Struthio camelus: one gene and its partners. The protein of the gene in region 3 purifies or fractionates together with the protein of the main gene of each other region. This does not show direct contact. Links are inferred from orthologs where the notes say so. Each region holds a gene or a part of one and is shown on either strand. Other genes may lie near its edges. The genes, in order: PIP4P2, PFDN1 and PRKAG3.

Region 1 (7,916 bases), on a different chromosome or scaffold from region 3:
GTTGTTACACAACACAAAGATCAGGAATTGAGAAGCATTTTCAAAAGACTTGCCAGTCTCTCAAAATATACTCTCAAATTATCCTGGATATCCTGGATACTGTATCATACATATTATATTAAACTGTGTTACCTTACATGTGACCACATATGCAAACCTATAGTTAGTTATTTTAACGTGTTAATTGTTATATTATAACCTATATTTCATATTATACACGATATCGTTATTACATTTCTTAGACTTATGTAAGGTATAAAATTATACCTTGTTATAGACTTAGTCTTGCAGCATAGGATACATCTGTGAATTAAAATCATGAGAGGATTTTGCATTTGCTCTATATGCTGCTCACATTTCCCTTTATGTTTTACAGTTTTTGAAAATTAGCCAGATCTTCTTGTATCCGACTGCACCTCATTTTAATGTAGCGGATCTGGGAAAATATAAGAATAAGCACTTTTCTTTTTTTTTCCCATATACTAACCAAGGAGCAGAAGAGAAATCAATTTACTTCAGTAACACAGGAAAAGAGACGATTAAGACAAACACCATGTATTACAAAAATCTTAGTCACTCAGTTTACCTTCTCCTTCACAGCACTGCTGTATTCAATTTTTGACATGCCTAGAAATTCAGCTAGTCTAACAATCAGCTATAGCCCATAACTAGATCTTTCAAAAATAATTTAAACTAAAATTCTGCAAGCATATTACAGTAGATTTTTATTTTTGTTTTTACTGTCTTATCCAGTACCAAAAAGGGCAATAGAAAGGCTTTTCATTGATTTCAGCCATTCTCAAGTCTGATTTTATCATTCAAAGGTTTAGATGTATAATATGACTTTAATTTGTGTTTACTTAGATTATTATACTGCCTGCATAGTATCTGAAAACTGTGTGTTTCATAACAGAGGCAAATGATCCCAGGTTTTTTCTTTCTTCTTCCTTTAGCCTTTAGGAGGAAGCTTGATCTAGCAAATAGGCCCTTTGATCAGACCCGAGAAAAACAGTATTCCATTTCTTACACAAATAGTGGGATGTTATGTGAACGTGCAATACCCATATTATGACTGTAAACCTACTGAATTTGGGTTTTTTTTTAAATTATAAAAGATCAAGGCAGTGCTCTGTGCGTTTGAACATCTCCTACCACAATGGATTTAGGCTTGCAGTCTAAGCAATACAAAATTTGGATGTTATTTGTTGCTAAATTTAACTCATACATTACAAAGTTACCCGGGAAAAGTCAGTAGAATACCTACGGACTCCATACAATAATTTTTTGCACTATGAGTTACACAGTCTTGATTTAACAAAGAGCGGTAGCTAAACTTTCTATAATGTTGATACGCAAATATTTTGCGCTTGATAATAGCTTCAAAAAGTGCAGTTTTTTTCTCATGCTAAACTAATTTAGTTCTTTCTTTTATCTAGGAAAAATGAAAAACAAAATAACCACTGAGGAAGATAACGTTTTCAAAATGAAAGAAAACTTGAACGTTATCAGGCTTTTCAAAAGGTCACAAAAATGATGCAAAGTAAATAAAAAAATGAAAGAAAATATGCCATGGCATTTTAATTTTATGCCTCTATTTAATATATTCCTTGTTAGTAAGTAATATCCTGTCTTGCTCTGCCCTTACTCATATTATACGTAAGTTCATATGCAACAGCCCAACTTTGGGGCAGGATGGAGCAGTGCATGTGTGATTTAGGTCTGCGACACAGATGAAGGCACTTTGAGAAACCTTTGGAAGATCAACTTCTCAGAGGCATCTTCCCTGCAAGTCTTGTATCTAAAATATTTCCCTCAACTCGAAAAATAATCCTAAATACAGGCATAGCCACCTTGTCCCCAGCAAAAATTCCCTTTGTTGTCAGCTGCCAGCTATAAAAGTGCTCTAACCATTATTCTGTGTATGTAAAACAGCAGTTTCAGTCTATAAACCCCTGCAAAACTAAGAATCTGTTAAAACCACATTCTATTCAGCACGGGCTTTATAGCGGAGGACCTTCAAGATTCATTGGCACCATAAACAGGTAGCGCAATACAACTACGCGGCATACACAAAGGCACACTGTAACTCACAGGTCAAAGGCGCCCAGGGGCAATGAGGTTGAGTGCACAAAAGGAGGTGATGCGCCCTGCATCATGGCCTGTGCTAGAAATGCTGTGGCACTGAATTCAAGCAGGATTTATCATCTGGGTAGCGCAGTCATGAGCAGGGCTGCTCAGGAGAGAGCATCCTTCCCACTGAACAAGGCAGAATTTTAATAGAAGAAAAATTGCACGTGGTGTAATTAATATGTATCATAAGGCATTTGTGTCCAGAGGAAGAAGGACAGGAAGAAAGTAGCAAATTCTCATTGCTTATGTTGTCTTAAATCTGGCATTATCCAGTGCTCGAATTCTTCCCTTTGCAGCCTGAGTAGCATGCACAGAGTGTTTGTTACTAGCTGAAAGTATCGTCTCGTTTGTTTGTGCACCTTTTGGTATCCTCTGTTGTTACTGGCTGGGTCAAACTAACTTGGATATTGCAGATGATGACAGCAGATCTAAACGTCAGACTGCAATGTTTTAGCTGAAATGCAGACATTTAGTTACCTTAAATACAATGGATTCAAAATACTGAAAAAGAGGCAAATGGTTGAACTATTAACTGATTTCTGCTATTTTAGAATGTTTAGCAGCTCCAGCGAATAAAAGATTTAAAGAACTCTGGCAAGTCAGATCACAGGAGCTGGAGAAATGCATTTTTTTTTAAATCTTGAGTGGGTACTTATTTAGATGACAGTCATATTTCCAATAATAGGTCAGCATGCTGGGATGTGAAATAACAATTCTTGCCTGTAAGTGCAGGCTTAAGCTGTTTGGCGGAACTGAGTTGTGACGTAGCTTTCCCTTTGCATAGCTGACAGTGATCTTAGGGATTTTAGTCTCCCTCTGAGGCATGGAACATCAGTTTAGTGGCTAGGTCCCACATAATCAATTTTCTGAAACTGCAGAATGAAATTACAGGATGGAATGGATCTTGGTGGAACTCAACGCTGCCTAGTAAGTGGCTTTAAAAAAAGTATTGTATTTTTTCGCAATCCATGAAAAGTGATAAAGAAACCTGGTTGCAAATGCCAGGTCCTATATTAAAATTCCAAAAGAAAGCCTGTGTCTACCAGTTGAAACGTGGGTATGTGCTAATAAAAACATACAGAACACGTGCTCAAGATACATGTTGACTAGTAAGAGTAAAGACCTGTTCCTAACCTGCTAATATCAGCCTAACAGTAGCTCAGCAACATGAAAGATTTAGTGGTACAAAAAACACTGCAAGGCCTAAAACTCCTCACAGAAAAAGCCTTTAAGTGTTGATTTCATCCTGAGAGAGTTCTTTTTAAGCTGACTGGAAAGTGAAAGTTCAATCCAATTTAAATCAAACAAGCACCTTCCAAGTTAGTTACAACATTTTCTACGGGAAGAGCCAGTGTGACATGGCATGACTCCATTTCCCGCACAGTGAAGATACCTGGCCTAACAGCCAGCTGCCTTGTAGCGTATTGTTCCTTATGTGGTATTTTCAGAGCTAGTTGAAACGCAGTTTATTTGTGCAGCAAATAACAACGTTTAAAAATGTAATTTTGTCCCAAGTGAGACGACTAGGCAATATTTCAAAATTTGCTATAAAATTAAAAATATTTTTAAAATATTACAATAACCTATGAAAATGCTGTGTTTTTACCACAGCATGTTTATTCAATATTATAATTACTAAAGTAAAAATGAATCGTTTCAACCTTACAGAAATAAAATACATCAGCCTCCTTTTCATATATTTTGATTATTTCTCATACAGACTTTCAAATACATCAGTCTATTCTTGTAAAGTAGTTTGATTTCCTAGATTCTATTCTTCTTGTGAAAAACTGCTCCTGCAGAAAATTTTCAATGGGATGTAAATAACAGCACTTTACCTGTAAAAATCATATTTAGGAAGGAATATGACCGGCTAGTGAAATTTCAGACTAGGATATCATCTGATATAGTTTCCCAGTTAAGACTCACTACCCATTTCTTATGAAAATGTCATTTTAAGAAGTGGACTGCACTTTTGGGATGTTAGATAGTACTTGAAAGTCATGACGAAGATCCTCTTTTATTCAAAGTAACTGCAGATCTTGTGGCATTATCACAGTCTGGCTCTGGCTATCTCTAACCTATGGATAATGGATCTGCATGACGCACGGGTGACAAACATCTGCTTATTTCAATGCTGGCTGCAATGGAAAGCCTGTTCCCTGCTCTCTGCCTGGAGGAAAGGCTATTCCCCCCTCTCTGCCCGAGACTTCCAGATGGTGCCTGAGTGGGCTTTCTAGCAGAAGCAAATTTATAAGTCCTGAAGTCCACAGAGAGTTCAGTGACACCAGGCAACCCTTCTCGGATGAACAGCAGATTTTATAGCGTGTAGATTTATCGCCTCACGTTGAAAGCGGAATTAAAGGTCACCTCATCATCTTCGCGCCTCAGTGAGTAGAGTCTCAGCGCGGCCCATCAGTCTCCCTCCTCGACCTCCTGAAAAAGACAACTGGCAACAGCAAAATCAGCTAGTACCTCCCTGTTTTCTTGTTTAACATCTCTTCTCTGACACCCATGTCCGCAAGCCCCCCTCCCCGGCCTTCTCGCCGTTTATTTTTGCGCAGCGCGGGGCAGCAGGGGACGCTGCCTGCAGGCGGCCGGCGCCGCAGCACGTCGCACCGTTAGCGGCTCCCCGCAGCCCCTTCCCGCCCAACCCTCCCTCAGGTGGTCCTTCTGTGCGCCCGGTAGCTGCCAGCGACCGCGGAAGGAAAGCCTGGCCCTGTCGTGACACGCAGGTGAGGGGCGGAGGAGGCCGCAGCCGGCGCCCAGCCCCGGGCAGCCCTGCTCCCGCCGCGCCGCGCCGCGCCGCGCCGCCGGGGCCGGGGCCGGCAGCTCGGGCGGAGGCAGCGCGGCCCGCCCCGCTCATTAGCCCGCGCCGCCCCCGCCGTCTCTCCTCCTCCCTCGGCCCCGTTCATTGCCACCCCCCTTCCCCTGCGCCGCCGGTGCCGGCCGCCGCCGCCGCCCCTCCTCTCCCCGCCCCGCCGCCAGCGAGGGAGCGCGCGGGGCCCTGCCCGCCGCAGTCATGGCTGCTGAGGGGGCGGACGAGCGCTCCCCGCTGCTGTCAGCGCCCGGCTCCGGCAATGTCACCCCCACGGCGCCGCCGTATCTACCGGACAGCAGCCCCCGAGGTAAGGCGGCCGCCCGCCCTCCTTCCTTCCCCGGCCCTTGCGGCGGCGGCGGCGCCGCAGCTCGAGCCGGGGAAGGGGCGGCCGAGGGACGCCGCGGGGCTGCCCCAGCGCGGGCGGCGGGGCTGCCGGGGGGCTGGCCGCAGCCGTGAGCGCCCCGCTGCCGGCGGGGGAGGGGGCGCGGGCCGGGCCGTTGGGCGCGTGCAGGGCCGGAGCCGGAGCCGGGCCGGCCGCGCGGGGGCGCGGGCCCGCCCCGTGGGGGGGGAGGGGGAGGGGGAGGGGGCGGCCGGGCGCCATGTCGCTGCGGGGCCAGGCCGCCCCCGGCCCGGCCGTGCTGAATCAGGCGTTTGCTCCCGCCCTCGTTGGCGGAGGCGGCGCTGCGCCCTGCGGGGGGGGGAACGGCCGCGGGCGGTGCTGCCCCGCTGCTGCGGAGCTGGGCGCAACCTCGAACCTGGGGCCGCCTATTCCTGGCGTTTGCGCTTTTCTTTTTTAATTTATTTTTTGGCGGCCCGTCGGGGCGGGGGGCACCGGGCCGGGCTGACAGGGCCCCTGCTCTGCCCCGGGGGCCGGGGGAGCGCTGGGCCCGACAGGTGCCGCCGTGGAGGAGCGGGGCGGGTCGTGTGTGGCACCCTGCACCAAATCCTAGTAGGAACTCTTCTTTTTAAAAAAAAAAAAAAAAAAAAAAGTTGTTTGCAGTTGCAGAACGAGTTTGAACCAGTCTGGTTATTATAGCTGAGTCGCATGTTGGAGCTTGCAAGGTAATTGTTGGACTTCAGTTCTCCTATTAATTAGAAGTAGGATTTAGGGAAAAGATACCTAACTATGAACAGTTAAATTCCGTACAGTGAGTTGTAGGATGCTAAGCAGTAGAGGCATGATGTAGAGAGTCAAAACAGAACGGATTAAAAGCGCAGACATCTCTATTGCATCTCTAGGGATCTTCAGTGCCCTACTAGGAGGCACCAGCTGATCTGATCTGTTCTTATTCTGGCAGTCAGACTTGAGCCAGTAGCTCTGGGCAATGTGGTACTTGAAGTCCAAAACACTAGGTTGCCCTTGCAAACCGATCGAAGGCCATGGGTGTTTTCAGCTTTATTTTTAAAGCAAGTAGTTAGTTGCAAATCTGGAATAACAACTTCATTTTGTGGTACTCAACTTTCTTGTGCAGACTTACAGAAATCATCTTGTTGATGAATGTTGAACATTTAGTAGTTGGGGGTAACTTAAATAATTCAAATTAGGAGGTAGCAATATGTGACTATACAGCTTCATAAACTTGGTCAGTTTACAAAATACAGTAATGCAAAAATTTTTTTTTTTTTGCGTTCTGCTTTCTTGAAAAGAGTTTAACTGGCTCAAAAAAAGAAAGAAAGGGGGAGGAGGGGCTGAGAGTTGAGACTAAATAAGATTATTGTAGCTTTGCTAGCCTTTTAAATGTAAGATTACAGTCTTGCCCTTTCTGGCTAGAGTGTGTTGGGTACTTCTTAAGGATTTTTATGTAGTTGTATAGATTTATTACATGTCTATGTAAATAGATATGTATGTGTGTGTTGTTCTACATAATAACAATTTCAGAATAAGCTATTTATACATGAAAATACTGTAGATGGGACTGCCAAAGGAAGTCCCACAAGTGAGCGTCTGTGTGTTTTGAGTAATCTTTAAACTAACGGAAATCTGGATCTCTGTGCCTTGATATGAAAATGTATTTCTTTCAGTGCTGTAGCTGATTTTGACTATTAACTTGCATTTGACTTGCACAAACCAGTATTATAGTGAAAAACAGCAGAAATCAGACTTTTTGTCCCCATCAGATTTTGTAGGATTGCTTTCACTCCTTAAGTTGTTGTTGTTGTTTTTTTTTTGTTTTAATTGATATATCTACCTTAACTGACATTTTCCTGTTCAACATTCTTTATTCTTAGCGGTCCTTACTCTGTAACTGATACTGTTGTGTGCATTTCAATCTATTTTAAAAGTCATTATGTATTAAATAAGTGATGAAAATGCATTAGATCAGTTACTAATGTTTGAATGCAGGATAAATCTTGTGACGTACAAACAAGCTGGCCCAAATGCTCGTTTCAGTTAATAGTTGTATCCTGTTGTGTCTCTGGTGCATATCTGTAACTTGTGTTAACTAATTTGGCACAAGTGGTATCTACTCCCTAGGAGAAGATTTTGGTACTTGAGATGAGAAGTGGCCTTGCTTTCAAAAGGGAGGAGGAACCATAGAGCTTTCTTAAATGTCAGACGTATTTTTAAAAGTTTAATCTCTTGCTTAATCAATCCTTAAGTGATTGTACCAAATAGCAGTTCAAATATGCTAGTCTGTTTTGAAAAAAAAAAAAAATTGCACAACAACATTTTGAAAAGGTATTATAGAGACCACATAGCTCTGTATTTGCTCAGCTATCGTTAGCAGCTCCCTGTCTGTGCAAGCTAGACAGCCTTTTTAGCTGACAGACAGTCTTTATCTCTTTCCCCAGCCCACGTCTGGCCTAGGGAGAAGAAGCACTCTCAAGGGGAAATGAAGTTTACTTTTAAAAATGCTTTCCACAGCACTTGCTTGTTAATCAGTAGCTGAATGTTGGGGAGCTGGAGGGGTAGAGGAAGGAGGAAGAAACCCTCTGCCCTCAAAACTACTGTCCGAGTGTACGC
Region 2 (7,431 bases), on a different chromosome or scaffold from region 3:
TACTCTTTCTCGGAGCCGTAGAGATGCTCAGATCTGGCCCAGGCCCATCAGTTTGAGTCTGGAGGTGGAAAGCCAATATTTGCTCTTTTTGGTGAGATGCTGCTCTTACCTTATCTGGTGGGTGTGCACAGGGCTGTTCCTCACGCCGGCATGGCCCAGTTGCTGGCACAGATTACTGCTTCTGCCTTCACCTGGAAATTTTTCCAGCCTTGGCCTGGTCAGACTTCCCTCCCACGATGTTGTTTCACCTGACATATCTCCATGCCAGTGGTTGCACCTTGGCCCTTCTGGTTTATTCTCCAGCACCAAGGAACTGAGAGGTGCAGAAGGAGGCTGCTCAGGGGAGAGGCATGTGCAGTGGCTGGAGCTGCCTGCTCCAACTCTGAGCTTGGTGGGTAGCAGTGCAGTGCTGGGGGCCCAATGGTAGTTGCAACACCTTGAAACACCTCTATGCTCAGGAAGGCATAGAAAAAGGCAGACTGGCTCTTGGAGCAACGCTGAAGGGTTCCAGGTCTGCTCTCAGGCTTGCAAATCACCAGTGGCATATGTAAAGTTGGGAAGCTGGGCAGAAGTCTGCCTTGCGTGGTGGCTTGGAGCAAGCACCAGTGTATCACAGAGCACTTGCCTGTGCTGAGATGGGAGGGAAGAGCTCGCTTGGGTCACCACACTGCAGATCCCCTGGGCTGAGGCATCATTGTTCACTCCTGGGCATCCTCCAGCCTTTTGTGCTATAAATTGCCAATGACTCAGGCAGCAGGACGTTCAGGCTCCCCCGAGGAGGCCAGGCCACTGCCGTATAGAATTAGCTGCTACAACTCTTCCTGCTATTCAGTGAAAGGTTTTCCTTTTCTCTGCAGGAAGTGTTATGTGTTGGATACACCAGGATCCGTGGGGCAGAGTAGCAAGAGGAACTGGGTTACAACAGCCATCAGTGTCTCAATAGTTGGAGGTCTTAGATAGGGGGATTGAAGAGAAATATCTCTGCTACATCCAAGGCTTGGGGTTGAATCAATTCAGAGCACGTGTGGTCTTCAGAGCATGGAAAAGGGAAATGGCACGAGGCCTGGATTTGTTCTCATCTTGGGGCAGGTGCAGTGGGTTGCAACAGGAACTGCTTGTCCCTAAAGGTTGGATCTTGCATTCTGCTTTTAATTAATGGTGTCCAAAGAGGTTGCCTCCTGCCTGCCTCAGATTACAGAATGGTACACTGGGTATTTTAATTTTTGCTGCCTTCCCCTAAAAGACTTCTGATAGCCTCATCATGATCTCACCTCTTCTCCCAGCCCAGCTGGGCAAACTCCAAGGAAAACTCAGGCTGGAGGGAGTGATGGTGATTAATTAGTGGGCGCGCATGTGGGTGAGTCAGGCTGCATCAGTAAGGCAGCACAGTGCTGAGGGGGTCACCAGGCAGCTGAAACAGCTTTCTCTGCATGAAACACCATGCTGCCATGCTGACCACATGCAAGAAATGGATTCCCCTGAGGATCTCACCACGCCACCAGCATTAACTCAGTAACTCCACCAGGCAAGGACACAATGCTTCTCAACCTCCCCCTCAGCTTTTAATTGGATTCAAGATCGTCTGGCCCTCCCAGTCCCAGACTGCTGCCATGTGCCCTTACATGCCTCCTACTTTCACTGCTGAAGCAACTGCCTTTCTGCAGAGGGTGAAATGACCTGGCCTCCTTCCCTCCTGCAGCATCTCAACGCCTGTCTGGATGACAGGGCTGTGTCTGACTGCCAGGTATTATTAATAAAGCATCAGTCTGGCTCTGGTTTTAGCTACTGCTACTGCTTTTTGATCTGTCCCTTGTATCCCCCTGGCTTTGGGATCCTCTCCCAGAGTCTGGCTGGGGGTGCCTTTCCTGTTCAATGAGTAATGAGACAGGCAGCCCGCGTTCTCCACTGTGTCTGGTACAAAGCCTTCCCTTAGCAGGACCTCTTGCAGGCTTGGCAGGAGCAGGCAGGCTAGAGCCTGTCAGTAACAGATCACCTCCTTTCTCTGTGTTTCTGTAGAGAGAGATGGCCTCACACAACTATTATGCACCAAAAGGCAATGTTGTAGCTAATCATTTGACGAACTAGTTCACTTCCTTGGCATCGCATCTAAACTGCCAGCTCAGCAGAAGGCTCAGCCACAAGCTCCAGTTCTACCCTGAGACACACGAGACCCCCGGCTGTATATCACCCCCTTGTGTGACAGCGACTGTGCGCTGGCAGAGTTATCCTAGTTGTGTCAGGGTCTGCATCTGCCCTTGCATCTGGCAGCATCTACAGATGGGGTTTAAGCCACTGGTACGGCCCACCAGGACTTAGGAGTTACCCAATGCCAGAGCCACCTTGGAGTGGAGGTCACACAAGGCTGCTGTTAGGCTGCTGTTAGGCTCCTTAGCCCCGCCAGACCTCCCCTGCAGCCATGCAGAGCCAGCCTGGGTTGTTAGTAGACGTCTACTGGATGGTGGATGAGGCTGGCATGAGAACCACACAACCTAACTGTGTATCGCACGACATAGTGGGGCAGCGTGGGATAAACGTCCATCCAGCTATACCAAAGAGCTTCACCCCTGACCCAGAGGGCCTTCCCTGCCTGTAATCCTTGTGACTCATGCATTCAAGGCCTCTTGGCCAAGCTGCATGTTTGGGAATTGGAACAAGACCTTGCTTTGGAAATAGGGCGTTTATTGGCAGCCTGTAGCTGGGAAAGAGCTCCTTCCAGTGAGATAAAACAGCAATGAAGTTTATTGGAGAAAGGCAAATAAAGATCCTCTTTAGCCAGTGGAACCCACTGATACATGAAACTTCCCCTCGATGTTGGCAAACCCTTTATAGATAAGGTATGGCCACCCATGTGAACACCTGCCCCCCAGGATATCTTGATTCCCATTTTTCTGTTCTGGACGTGACTCAGTTCCTTGCCAGCCCCATGATACTTTTAGCTTGGCTGCGTAGCACTGCATAAACAGTCAAACACATGGACAGGCTTCATGAGTCCTTGGGTCCAGCAGATGGGCATCTCAGTTCAATGACAGAGCCGGCATGCTGTCCCCATGAGGGGTACCTGCAAGGGCTTGACAGCCTCTTGAAACAGCTTCAAAGCCTCCCAGGAGACTGTAATCACACACCTGGTCCCCAGGAGAGGCTGAGTCCCTTCATAGGAAGGGCAGCTCCATCCCCTCTGGTTTTCTTTTCCTGCTCTTCCAATACATTTTCTGCTTCACAAAGGCCATATCTCTCTGCTCCAACATGGTACCCCAGCTTCCTGCTGAACTGGCATGGCCAAGAACACCCATAATGGGATCAGCTCTTTGGGGTGACCTCATCTGCACACCACTCAACAAGGTCTCACTGCTGACCAGTGAGGTGTCCATGTGGCCCAGTAAAGCATCTGTGTGGCAATGAGGCATCTGTACAGCAAGGTACCTCCATGGCACAATGAGGCATTCTGTTGCCTAGCAAGGTGTCTCTGTTGTCTGGAGAGGTGTCCCTGTGGCTCAGCAAGGCATTTCTGTTGTCCAGTAAGGCATCCGTGGAGCTCACAAGGCATCCTCACTGCACTATGAGGCTACCACTTGCCTTGCTGAGGAGTGCAGGCAGCCAGGTGAGGCAATTGCATGGCCTGGCAAGGTGACCCACCGCTCACTAAAGCATCCAGACTGCCTGGCGAGCCATCCATGCTGCCTGTGAGGCATCCTCGTGACCTGATGAGACATCCCTGATGCTTGGCAAGGCATCTGCCTAGCCTGGGGAGGTGCTGATGTGTCCATGCTGCCTGATGAGGTGTTGCTGTGGCCTGGTGAGATGTCTGTGTGGCCTGCTGAGACATCCCTGCTGCTTGGAGAGGTGCAGGCATGTCCCAGACAGGTGTCAAGGAGTCCCTGTTGCCCAGTAAGGCATCCTTCCAGCCTATTGAGGTGTCCCCACTGGCCAGAGAGCCAAGCTCATGTTAGCAGCCCCCAGGTGCATATAGGTGCCATAGCAGTGGGTGCCACCAGACCCGCTGCACTCAGCCATCCCCTACCAGTCCCAGCCCTGCCCGGGCTGTCCTTGCCACAGAGAGCAGGCAGCGGGCAGGAGGCAGCACCGGGGCCAACCAAGACTGCAGACCCCCCGGGTGTCCTTGTGTCCCCGTGGCCGTGGGGCCCAGCCTATGCAGGCTCCCCAGGCCTTGGTCTGCCCTCCATGCCCCGGTTGAGGGCACAGCTGCTGGCAGGGAAGTTGCTGGGCCCCCCTCCCCAGGGACACACCAGGGCGCTCCCTAGAGCCCCCATCACTCCAGGATCCCCTCTTGCCCCTAGGATTCGCCCCTCCTCGCCAGTTCCTCCCTTCCCCCCACATTTCCCCCCTCCCCCCAGGTTCCTCCTCTCCCCACGCTCCCCTCTCCCAGCCCTCCTCCCCGCGCGCATGCGCACCTCAACGCGGCTCCCGCGCTCCCCCACTGCGCAGGCGCCGGGGGCAGACAAGATGGCAGCGCCCGTGGACCTGGAGCTGAAGAAGGTACCGGGGACTTCCCCCTCCTCCCCGCCCGGGGCCGCAATCTGCCGCGTTCTCCTGCCTCTCTACCCTCCGCTGCGGGGGTCTGGCCGCCTCCGTGGCCGGGGAGTGTCCCATCGCCCCGGTTGGGTGTTCCCGGGTAGGGCTTTGCGCGGTCCCCTGTTTTGGGGCAGCTTGGGGCCCGCCGCGGCCCCCCGGCGGCCTAGCCTTAGCGGCCTGGGGGCTCCCGGCCTCTACCCCGGCCTGGCAGCCCCAGCCTAGCCCCAGCCTCGCCTGGAACGGCCCTGGCCCCGGCCGGGCGGCCTCAGCCCCTCACCGCTCCTGCTTTCCCCCTTCAGGCCTTCACGGAGCTCCAGGCCAAGGTAATAGATACGCAGCAGAAAGTGAAGCTTGCCGACATCCAGATCGAGCAGCTGAGCAGGACGAAGAAGCACGCGCACCTCACTGACACGGAGATCATGACGCTGGTGGATGAGACCCGCATGTATGAGGGTGTAGGGAGAATGTGAGTATCATACTGGCCTGTGGGGCGAGTAGGGGAAGGCCTCATCGCTGTACTCTTCCAGACTGCTGAGAAAACAGCTCACAGACGCCTTGTGCCTACCTTGTGCTGGTAGTCAAATGAGGTAGCAGTTATAATGGTAGCCTTGCATATGGGGAGACGTTCCTTGCCTCAGTACTTAAAAGGCCTAAGGCTGCTGCCTCAGGCCAAAGATTCTTCCCTACTGTATGGCTGCTTCATGAAGAATATAGCGTGTGTGCATCCATTGAGGCATACTGGGCTTTATCTCTTGGCATCAGTTGCCAGCAGTCTTTTTTACAACTTTTATTGCCTTTGTGTGCTTTTGCTTTTTGGCTTTGCTCTTGGCCTTAATGGTCTTATTTGGACTGTCTGGAAATTTTGTAAGCTAGATTGCTAGAACAGGGTTCTAGTGACAAACTGTGTTTGCAAGAAGATGTCACAAACCTATGTAGCCATTCGTGATGGAATAGTACACCATTCCTGACGTAGTTCACGTCAAACTCTCTCAAAAACACCCATGCCCTTATGCAGTGCATATACTCAGGGCTCTGCTTGCACAAATGTTCTACAGAAATGCAATATCATGTCAATGAATGTCAGTGCTTGCCATTGGCCAGATTTTTTTAAAGACTTGTAAGAGAGCGTGAAGCTTGTTTGCAGTCGCTGTGCAGCTGTAAAGAAAGTAGTACTTTGATGTGTTGGATGGATATCAAAACATCTTAGACTAGAATTAACATGTTTTGATTAACTCTGACAACCCACTTCTGTTTGACTTTAACAGCCTCTTATAGAAGACCACACAAACCAGTTTCAAAAGCTGATAATGCATGCTTACTAAATAAACATCACAGTAACTTTGTGCAAGACTTGAGAGTACTGTGATTTTTCTGTTTCATTGCAAGTTGGGTAACAGGGATGACTATGCTTAGCTAGGGATGTGGTTTTGTGAAACACTGAATCTGATGTAACTGCTGCCAAAAGGGATGATTGTGTCTACTTCTTCCCCACCTGTGTTTCCCCTACCTTCTCTGTGTTGAAGTAGGTGATTGCGCAACCATGCAGTGAGTTTCATCAGCTTGCTGATTCAGTGAACAAGTTGTTCACCAAAAATGCCCTGGTCTGCCTTCCGTCTGACCACAAAATCTCTAGATCCAGTCTCAGAAACTGGAACTGGGAAGTGAGGAATGGTACGCAGATTGCATTTTACTGTGAGTTTTCAGATGAGACCAATGGAAAAACGAAGTTGTACCCAGACTTACGGAGATGCTCAGTGTGACACGCAGCATCCTTCTGAATTGCGTTGTATGGCTCCGACTTGCATTGTGTGGCTCCCAGTAAATAAATTTTTCCATGCAGTTGAATTAGATGTTCGGTTTGTGTGGGGATGTTAGCAACTGGTACCTCTAAAGGAAACAGATTTTTGTCCCCTTTCAAGAGGTGGAGTGACTGTAATATGGTCTGGGAGCAGGCTATAGGTGTAGAGAACGCTAATGTTCAAAGCAGTGTGACAAGACAACTCATAAGGGATTGTGTTTTTTGGTTTTTTTGTTTGGTGGGTGGGAGTCACAGCAGACAAACTAAGAGCAGAAGATAATTTTGGAGGTTCAAAAATATATATTTTAATCTTAAAGCTAAATACTTCTGTATTGAAAAATCATACAGATTAATTTAAAAGAGTGAGTGTATCAGTCTTTACGATGAAGTAAAGTAGTATTGCTCGCAAATGAGATGTGAGTGGCAAATGGTATCGGTTCCTGCACTGGCTGAATTGCATCGTGCTGCTTTCTATTTCTCTTCCACTTATGAGACACCTTTCTTCTTTGCTTCCTAGACCACTTATGCTTTTTCTGTTTGCAGTAGTTGCTGGAGTGAGTGTCTTTTAGGGGGTCATACTCTGCCTGCCTTTCCATGACCAGATAGGGTGCTGTAGGCCCTGCTGGGCAGCTCTCTATTCCTCCGGGATGGTAAGGGTGCTAACTGAAGATATTTGCCTTATGATAGCATTTAAAGGCTGGACTCTTTATGGGTTTTGTTGCATCAGTCACTATGCAAATGCAGATTAAGAGATTGCTCTCGCTGTAAATACTCTTCAGTCACTGAAGTTTGTTTGTTTGTTTTTTCTTCTTTACCTTGATATCATGGTATTTCTGAGCTCTGCCTATTCTAGCCATGGCATTGAAGGATGTCTCGCAAATTGGCATTCTGTTCTGGTAAGCTCTGGGTCACTCTCCAGTGTGAAGATCTCACACGAGGAACACAAGACTCTTCCTGTAACCACTTCTGACCACTAGCAGAGAATTTATTGCTGAAATTCAGGCATTTGGTGAAGCAGGCTACAGATACATTTAAGCAGGAGCTAATTCAAGGGCAGTCTGCTATCTTGTGTTCCACAGGAGACCAAAGGAAGTGGTTATTAG
Region 3 (7,530 bases):
CAAGAATCTGGGAAAACCCACACTTCTTTATCTTCCTCTAATGCGAAGTCCACTCGATAAATTAGATCTGCAAATCGTTTGCATCTGAATATCCTTGGGTGCGCTGGGCACAGCCCCAGATATTTGGCATCTTGTCAGCCCTATGTTTCCCTCTGAGAGAACAATCTTTCTGTCACTCCTGTGCCTTAAAACAGGCTCATGCAGTGAAAGAAACCCACTCTTTTGACCTCAAGATGCATGCAACAGGGGGACTCATTAAGCAGAGTGCAAAGACTGCTCTGTTTGCTATTCTGGGAACAGACTGGTGGCAGTGATGATGCATGGCGGTGTGAGGGCAGTTTAAACTCAAAAGCACTAGGGCAGCCTATAGCAGAGCCCAGCCTGCTTGGAGCACAGCAGGGCGAGGAATTTTGCCATATATCAGCAACCTGGGTAGCCGCTTGATTGTCTTTATCTCCTCCTGCAGTGGTCATTGCCAAAGTCTTTCTTCCTCCAGAAAAGCAACATTCAATCAAATGGTTTCAGCAAACTGGAACTGGGCAGACTGGGGTGAGTTTGCACTGGCTGTGATATGTGTGATGTTTGCAGTGTAACTTTAGGACTGGTGTTATGAGAGAGAATGGGCACCAAGGAAAGCAGCTTTGTTTAGGAGGAGAGGAACAGGTTGGCTTATGGGGTCAGCCTTGGCTTTCTGTATAGCCAAGTGGTAGGGTTGATGAAGTGTCTACAGGACTGGACATGTCTCCATGGCACTGTGTGTCCAGCTCTGATGGCAGTGAGGCTCGAGGGGAAAATGGCTGGGCTGGGTGATGTTTGGAGAGCAGCTGTCGTGGGGAGGACACGGAGAAGAGATGTTCCCCAGGGGGACTTGTACCACCTCTGTGGGCTCTGGCATGGCCAGCAGTGAGTGGAGGCTCTCATGAGGTCTGTCCCCCAACGTGGGGCTGGGAGAGCCTCCCTCACTGGGAGGCCTCCTGGGCTGCTACACTGTGCCAGCTTCCCTGAGCAAAGCTGGACTGCAAAATAGGCACTGCTGGTTCACTCGGATGAACCCCCGTCCTCCATCTCTGTGCAGGCAGCTGTCTGGGCCAGTGGGACAGGCACACCACTGGTGTCTGGTGTTAAAGGGACAGGGATCCCTGCCCTTGTGCCTGGGACAGTATGCAGTTGGCTTTATGTGCAGCCAACTCTTGCCCTAATGTCCTCTCCACTGTCTTGGGTGTCTGTTGGGGTGATTGGTGCTGCCTGGGAGAGGGATGGAGTAGGGGAGCCCGGCAGCCTTGTTTTCTGAGGCTATATGTGATGGTATCACAGACGAGTGTTCTACCAAGCCCCCTTTGATCCTTTTTCATTGTTCCTAAGCAGCATGGGGTCTCCTTTCTCTTGCAGCAAACTCCTCCCTTCAAGAGAAGATGAGGACCCCGCAAGAAGCCTGGAGCCCAGCCCTACACAAAGTTTACCTCTCAACAAGTGCACTGGTGGAGCTGGCCAGAAACCTGCTGGCTGCCTCTCAGACACTACCCTGGTGATGTGATTAGGCAGCCACTGTCCCTCCTTGGGGACACCTGAACCTACCTCAAAGGAAGAGAGAGGAGCTGGCTCCAGAGACCAAGGACTGTGGGAGCCCCTTGCACTGCCCACTTGCTTGTGGGATGTTTTTAGAGAGGGATGTTTTACTAGGCAAAGGGGAGAGCTGTTCAGCTTCAGATTTTTAAAACAAAAGAAATCTCCAAATGGCAAAGCCTGGGGAAGTCTGATTTGTCTGGCCTTTGTCTTAGGCTTTTGTTAAAGCCTGATGTGGTGGCAGCTTCTCTGCTGCGTGGGAGCTGGCTGAGCTTGGAGTCAGCCCGGCCTTCCCTTTTGCAACCAGCATGGGCTGAGCCCTTGCTTGCCTGTGTCACCCTGCACTAGTCCTTAGCTGCTAGGAGCCCAGCAGAGCTGAATCTTCTCTGGCCTCAGTGCAGCCTGGCCCCAGGGGAGAGACCGGTAGCCCCAGGAGAAAAAAGCTACCCCAGTTCCCCTGCCACTGCTCAGCTCCTCTGGGAGGAGTGGGGTTTGAGACTTTTAACTGACCTGTTTTATCTTTTCAGAAAGCCTGTGCCAAGATCCTTCCCTGCTGCCCTCCCCCAGCCTCGGAGCCTGGAGAAAGCCTCAGGCTTATGCGTCACCACTGCTTGCCTGCAAAGAGAAGCCGCAAATTCTAGTGCGGCCTACTGTGTGTAGTGGGGCCAGTACAGCTGCCAGGAAGGGGGCATCCTCTCAAGGCTCTTGGCTTTTCTGGGTAATCCTGCAGTGTGTGCACAGGGGCCGCAGGCTGGTGCTGCTGTTGTGGGCTCTGATCTGTTTTCCCTTTGTTTCTCGAAGATCTCCATTAAAGTTTAGCACTCTCCGCTGCTCTCATGGACTTGACCTTGTTGCATTTTCCTGATGCATTTGGGTACAGAGGGCAGCTCTGCTTCCCCCATGCTCTGTCAGGCTCAGGTGCAGGCAAGGTTTGTGCCACCTCTTAGCCCTTCCCCATAGTCAGTGAGGGCTCCTCCATCCCGCCCCAGCCCAGGGCTCGGGTAAACATGGCTGTAGCCTGACTCTCCCCTTAGGTAAGGGAGCAGCTCCTGGTGTTGCAGCTTTGCTCTGGAGTCTGCCTTGTGTCCCAGTGCCAGTCTGCTTCTGCCAGAGGTGCTTAACCAAGGTCTGCACAGCTTGGCCAGGACTGGTTTCTCAGCCCCAGGCTGGGCTTGATCCGGGGCTTTTCCTTCTCCTGCCAGGGCTATATGGGCTGAGGCAGGCACAGGCTTGGGCAGCACAATGAGAGCCAGTGCTGCGAGAGGTATGTGCTGCGTGCTCTGCTCCCGCAGGCGTCCCCACGGCTGGAGGAGGCTTTAGTCCCAGCTCCTGGGCCTCTGCACTTCAAAGCCTGGGTTTGGGGATGAATGAGCTCAGCCTGGGGCTGAGAGAGGCACTTGGAGAGCTCCTCTCTCTTCCCTGGTGTGTAAATCCCTCCCTGCGCTAGGGGGAAATGCCAGGCTCTCAGGTGCTCCCAGCTGGCCTGTGCAGCAGGTTTTATCCCCTAAAGCTGCATGTCGTCTTCCCCAGGCTGGGCAGCCCCCCTCAGGGGAAGGGGTTGCTCTGGGTCGGTGCCAGGTGAGGTGCTGAGTACAGCTCCTGAGGCACTTGGGCTTGCAGAAAGCCCTTCTCTCCTTGTAGCCCCCCAGTGCCTGCAACTCGGTCTGTGTTTCTCCAGTCTCCTTGGTGATAATCTCATTGCTCCTCGGCTTCTCTCCAGCACCCTAAAATAGCTGCTGGGGTGCGAGCGTGAAAGGGGAGAGGCACGCTCCCTTCCCTGCTGCCAGCACCCCTTTGGTGGCCAGGCTGGAGCCGGGCAGCCCTGGCTCAGCAGCTGCCTCTTACAGCTGCGCTATGTGGCCTGTCCCCATTGCACCCTCTGTGTTGCTGCAGGGCAAGTGCCAGGCTGGGCTACCTGCTGTGCCCTTGTGCCACCCTGGCCTGAGCTGTGCCCTGGTGCTGTTGCCCAGCACCTAGTTCCCTGCCCTCGTCCCTCCTTTTCCTCCCTGCACCCCACCTCTTGAGGCAGGGGCTTTGCCCCTCTTACCCTTGGCTGGGTGCTTGGGGCTGGCTCCCTCCTCCCTTCTTGCATCCAGTGGGTATTTTGGGAAGCTGTTGGCTGTGATTTAAACCCCCCTGGCCCAGCCTGGCAGCATCTCCCACTTGCTGCACTGTGAGCAGGTGACCCCCCCCCCCAGCCCCCCTGTAGGCGAGGCTGCAGCCGTCCCCACGGGTCAGCTGGAGCCACTGTGTTCCCTGGGCTGCCGGGGGGCAGGACCAGTGGCCACAGGCCTGCTCGCCCACGGTTGCTCCCAGCCTGGCATGGCAGCTGGCCAAGGGGTTATTTGAACCTTCCTGAAATAGAAACGGAGCTGGGAGCAAGTAGAGAGTGGGAGGGGGTGGCCCAGGGGGTGGTTCCCCCCCCCTCCCCGGCAATGGGATCCCCCCCCATCATGAAACCTGTGGGGAAAGGCTGAATCCAAGAGGAGGCCAGTGCAGTGTGGGACCCAGGGGCAAGGGGACCAGGGTCTGGGCTGCGCTGTACCCCATCCCCAGCTGCACTGGCTGCCCCCAGCCCGGGGCAGGGGCCTGCCCTCCTCTTGCACCCCTGGGGGAGGTGGGGGTACAGTAACCCCCTCCCTGGTCCTGCTGGCATCCCTGGAGGCAGGCAGGCTGGGGGGCAGCATGGTCCAGGCACAGACAGCCCCAGGGCATGCGGGACTGCATCCTGGGAGGTGCTGAGTGCTGCCCCTGGAGGAAAGGGGTCTGCAAGGGGCAGGTTTTCTGCCAACGGCTCATCTGTCCATCGCCCCCTTGCATCCCTAGGGCCGCCGCCATCCCTTCCAGCCCACCGCCCCCAGCAGGTGCCGCGGTCCGGGGCGGCGCGGCGGCTCCCCCTCCCTCTCCGCGGTGGCGGGGGCATGGCTGGCATTGCTCACTGACACCCTATCTGCCAGGCCCCGGAGCAGCCGCGGGCCCAGAATAGCAGCGCTGCCCTGCAGTCGGCATGGAGCAACTCCCGGGCCCCGCTGCTCCCCAGGTACTGTAGGGGTGAGTGGGGGGCCTGGCCCGGCAGCCCCCCTCGTGGGGACATGGGCAACCCTAGGTGGGAGGCTTGGAGGGCTGATAGCCCCCTTCCCGTGGCCAGGCAGCCCTGGGGACAGGGGTCCAGAGCACAGCCCGACTTGGGCGCCTCCCCCAGTTTGCTCCAGCCCCACGGGAACGTTTGGGGTCGGGGCGGGAGGTGTTTTGGTAGGGTCACCTCCTTCCTGCGGTTGGATTTAGCTCCCTTTTGGAGCGGTCCATGGAGCTGTGTTCGTTTGTAAACATTGGCTCTGCCAGCAGGTTTGTGATCCGGGATTGCCGTTCCTGCTGCGCGTGCTGCTTTGTTATGGTAGGGTCTCCTGGGGGCCTGGTGGGGGCCCAGGGCCAGCCAGCTCGCCGTGCTGCTGTCCCTCTGCCTGGGGCTGCCTGCGCTGCTGTTGTAGGGTCTCCCCGGGGCGGCACCAGGCAGACCTGCTCCCCAGGTGGCAGGTGGGGCTGGCTGGGTGCCCAGCATCGCCCGCCCCGCTCGGGTGGGCCAGGCCTAGGATTTACACCGTGGGGGCCGGGGGAGGGAGAGGAAGGGCGCAGAGCCGCTGCGGGACCTGCTGCTTTCACACAGCAAAGAGAGGACCCAGGCGTCCGGGGCTCGAGCCACCACCCGGAGAGCAGGCTGAGCCACAGGCCGGCTGGGGCTGGGGGGCTTTGGCCCCACGGGGGCTGTCATGGCAGGGCCCTCTGGGGGGGACTGGGGGCTGCTCCCCATCTCTGCTCTGGTCCAGTCTGCCTGGCTTGGCCCTGTGGAAGGGGGAGCTGGGCCAGCGGGACGGGTGCAGGCAGCACCCTCGGGTGGGGGAGAAGGGGGGCTGGCTCCTGCTGACGCCCCCTCTGTGTGACCCCGCAGATGTCGCTGCTGGACGCAGCTGCCCGCCCGGAGGAGGAAGGTGGGTAGCAGGCAGCGGGGCGAGCGGGGCCTCTCCAGGTGGGGTGGGGGCTGGCTCACGCATGCAACGTGTGCGTCCATCCTCAGCTCGCCCCCGGCCCCCGCGCAGCGAGCCCTGCCCGTGCCCCTTGTTACCCCCTCCTGCACCCCTTCCTAGCTGCTCCCAGGGTCCGCCAGGCCCTGCAGCTGGGGAGCTGCTGCGCTACGTGCAATCCCTCTCCCCGGGGGCTGGGGCGCTCTGCCGGCCCCAGCGGGGCAGTGGAGACAGCATCTCCCCCCACAGCATCCCCTCGGTCCCCTCTGCTGAGACCTGGCAGCTCAGCTCACCACCCGGGGCTGGGGCAGGTCCAACCACAGGGTTCCCGGAGGCACCGCGCACCAGGGAGGAGGAAGAGGAGGAGGACAGGCGGAGGGGCGCGAGGCCCGTCGCCTTCACGTTGGGCACCGAGATGCTGGGGCTGGGGCCGAGCCCGGACAGCGAGTTTCAGAGCCCCGACGCCGAGGTCTACATGCACTTCATGAGGAGCCACTGCTGCTACGACGCCGTCCCCACCAGCTGCAAGCTCGTCGTCTTCGACATCACCCTGGAGGTGAGGCTGCGGGGCACCGCGGGGGCCTGAGGGTCTGCAGGGACCGGGGAAGAGCAGGCTCGGGGACCCCCGACACCTCTCTCCGTGCTGCCGGCAGATCAAGAAGGCCTTTGTGGCGCTGGTGGCCAACGGGGTGCGAGCAGCGCCGCTCTGGGACAGCAAGACGCAGAGCTTCGTGGGTGAGCGCCGGCAGCAGAGCGACGCCCCTTCCCCTGCCTGGCGGCTCGGCGGCCCCGGGCCGTGGCCGCAGGGCTGCGGGCTGCCCCCGCCGTGGTGCCAGCCCCACGTGTCCCCGCAGGGATGCTCACCATCACTGACTTCATCAACATCCTGCACCGCTACTACCGCTCGCCCCTGGTGAGTGCCGGCGCGGAGGGCACGGCGTGCCGGGGAGGGCACGGGGCAGAGGCAGCCCTCGGGCAGGGAAGGGGCTGTCCGTGGCCCAGCTCCCTGCGGACCGGCAGCTCCTCTTTTCCCCTCAGGGCTAATTTTTGCCCTGGGGGTGCTCTGAGCCAGCCCCGTGCCCGGCGCGGACCGCTGCACCCGGCAGGGGTAGGGCTCGGCGGTGCGTCTGCCCCCCCAGAGGCTGCCGGGGTGCAGGCGGGTTCGGTGCCCCGTGCCGGGCACCCAAGGGGTCCCCGAGACGTGATCCCCGTGCTCAATGAGACGAGGTGGGCTGGCCGGGGAAGGGGCAGCAGGCAGGGCTCGCTCCCCCCCTCCCGGAGCCCCGCGGCCGCCAGCCGTGACGGAGGCTCTCGCTGCCCTCAGGTCCAGATCTACGAGGTGGAGGAGCACAAGATCGAGACGTGGAGAGGTACAAGCGGGGGTGTCGGGACGGGGCACGTCGCGCTTGGCGTGGTGGCGGGCGCTGGGCTGGGGGTGGGGGGTGAGGCAATGGGACACAGGGGCGCGCGCGGCTGCACGGAGGGGTGGCGAGGTTCGGGGAGCGGGGGGGAGCCAGCCCTGCTGCTGGCGCCATGGGGGCCCCCGCTCTCGTCTCTCTCCCTTCCCAGAGGTGTACCTGCAAGGCTCCTTCAAGCCGCTGGTGCACATCTCCCCGAGCGACAGGTGAGTCCCTGCCCTGCGGCGGGGGCGCCGGCCCCGGGGCTGCCCGCCGGCTCCGCTCTGCGCTGCAGCCCGCTCGCCGCCTCCGCGAGGCCTCGACGGCCTGCAGCCCCTCGGGGCCGTGCTGGGGCTGCCCCTTGCCGGGGCCGGCTCCGGCGGCGGGGAGCCGCGGGGAGACGAACGCAGGAGGCCGGGTGCCCCGGCTGCCCTCGGCTGCAGCGGGTGGGGGCCTGCGGAGCGGTGGCCCCGGGGGGGGGGGCAGTGCCCGGGGTGCTCGGGGGTTTGGCGTGCACAGCCGCCTCCCCCTCCCTACGGTGTCCCCGTCGC

What was found.
Region 1: the proteins of PRKAG3 (region 3) and PIP4P2 purify together in Homo sapiens (affinity purification with mass spectrometry; 3 studies listed by BioGRID and IntAct, with this or other methods). This does not show direct contact. The link is inferred for Struthio camelus from reciprocal best matches to the Homo sapiens genes PRKAG3 and PIP4P2.
Region 2: the proteins of PRKAG3 (region 3) and PFDN1 purify together in Homo sapiens (affinity purification with mass spectrometry; 3 studies listed by BioGRID and IntAct, counting the BioPlex papers as one, with this or other methods). This does not show direct contact. The link is inferred for Struthio camelus from reciprocal best matches to the Homo sapiens genes PRKAG3 and PFDN1.

Annotation. Positions count from the first base shown.
Region 1 is NC_090943.1:150,597,561-150,605,476, forward strand, and holds the start of PIP4P2 (type 2 phosphatidylinositol 4,5-bisphosphate 4-phosphatase), read left to right. Parts: upstream 1-4,861; 5' UTR 4,862-5,152; coding exon 5,153-5,258; intron 5,259-7,916. UniProt on the Homo sapiens protein: Catalyzes the hydrolysis of phosphatidylinositol-4,5-bisphosphate (PtdIns-4,5-P2) to phosphatidylinositol-4-phosphate (PtdIns-4-P).
Region 2 is NC_090954.1:23,573,357-23,580,787, reverse strand, and holds the start of PFDN1 (prefoldin subunit 1), read left to right. Parts: upstream 1-4,380; 5' UTR 4,381-4,401; coding exon 4,402-4,494; intron 4,495-4,829; coding exon 4,830-4,996; intron 4,997-7,431. UniProt on the Homo sapiens protein: Binds specifically to cytosolic chaperonin (c-CPN) and transfers target proteins to it. Binds to nascent polypeptide chain and promotes folding in an environment in which there are many competing pathways for nonnative proteins.
Region 3 is NC_090947.1:28,380,906-28,388,435, reverse strand, and holds the start of PRKAG3 (5'-AMP-activated protein kinase subunit gamma-3), read left to right. Parts: upstream 1-4,528; 5' UTR 4,529-4,570; coding exon 4,571-4,603; intron 4,604-5,509; coding exon 5,510-5,549; intron 5,550-5,893; coding exon 5,894-6,138; intron 6,139-6,235; coding exon 6,236-6,317; intron 6,318-6,436; coding exon 6,437-6,495; intron 6,496-6,906; coding exon 6,907-6,952; intron 6,953-7,151; coding exon 7,152-7,206; intron 7,207-7,530. Other genes in the region: tubulin monoglutamylase TTLL4, read left to right, coding at 467-549, 1,390-1,534. UniProt on the Homo sapiens protein: AMP/ATP-binding subunit of AMP-activated protein kinase (AMPK), an energy sensor protein kinase that plays a key role in regulating cellular energy metabolism.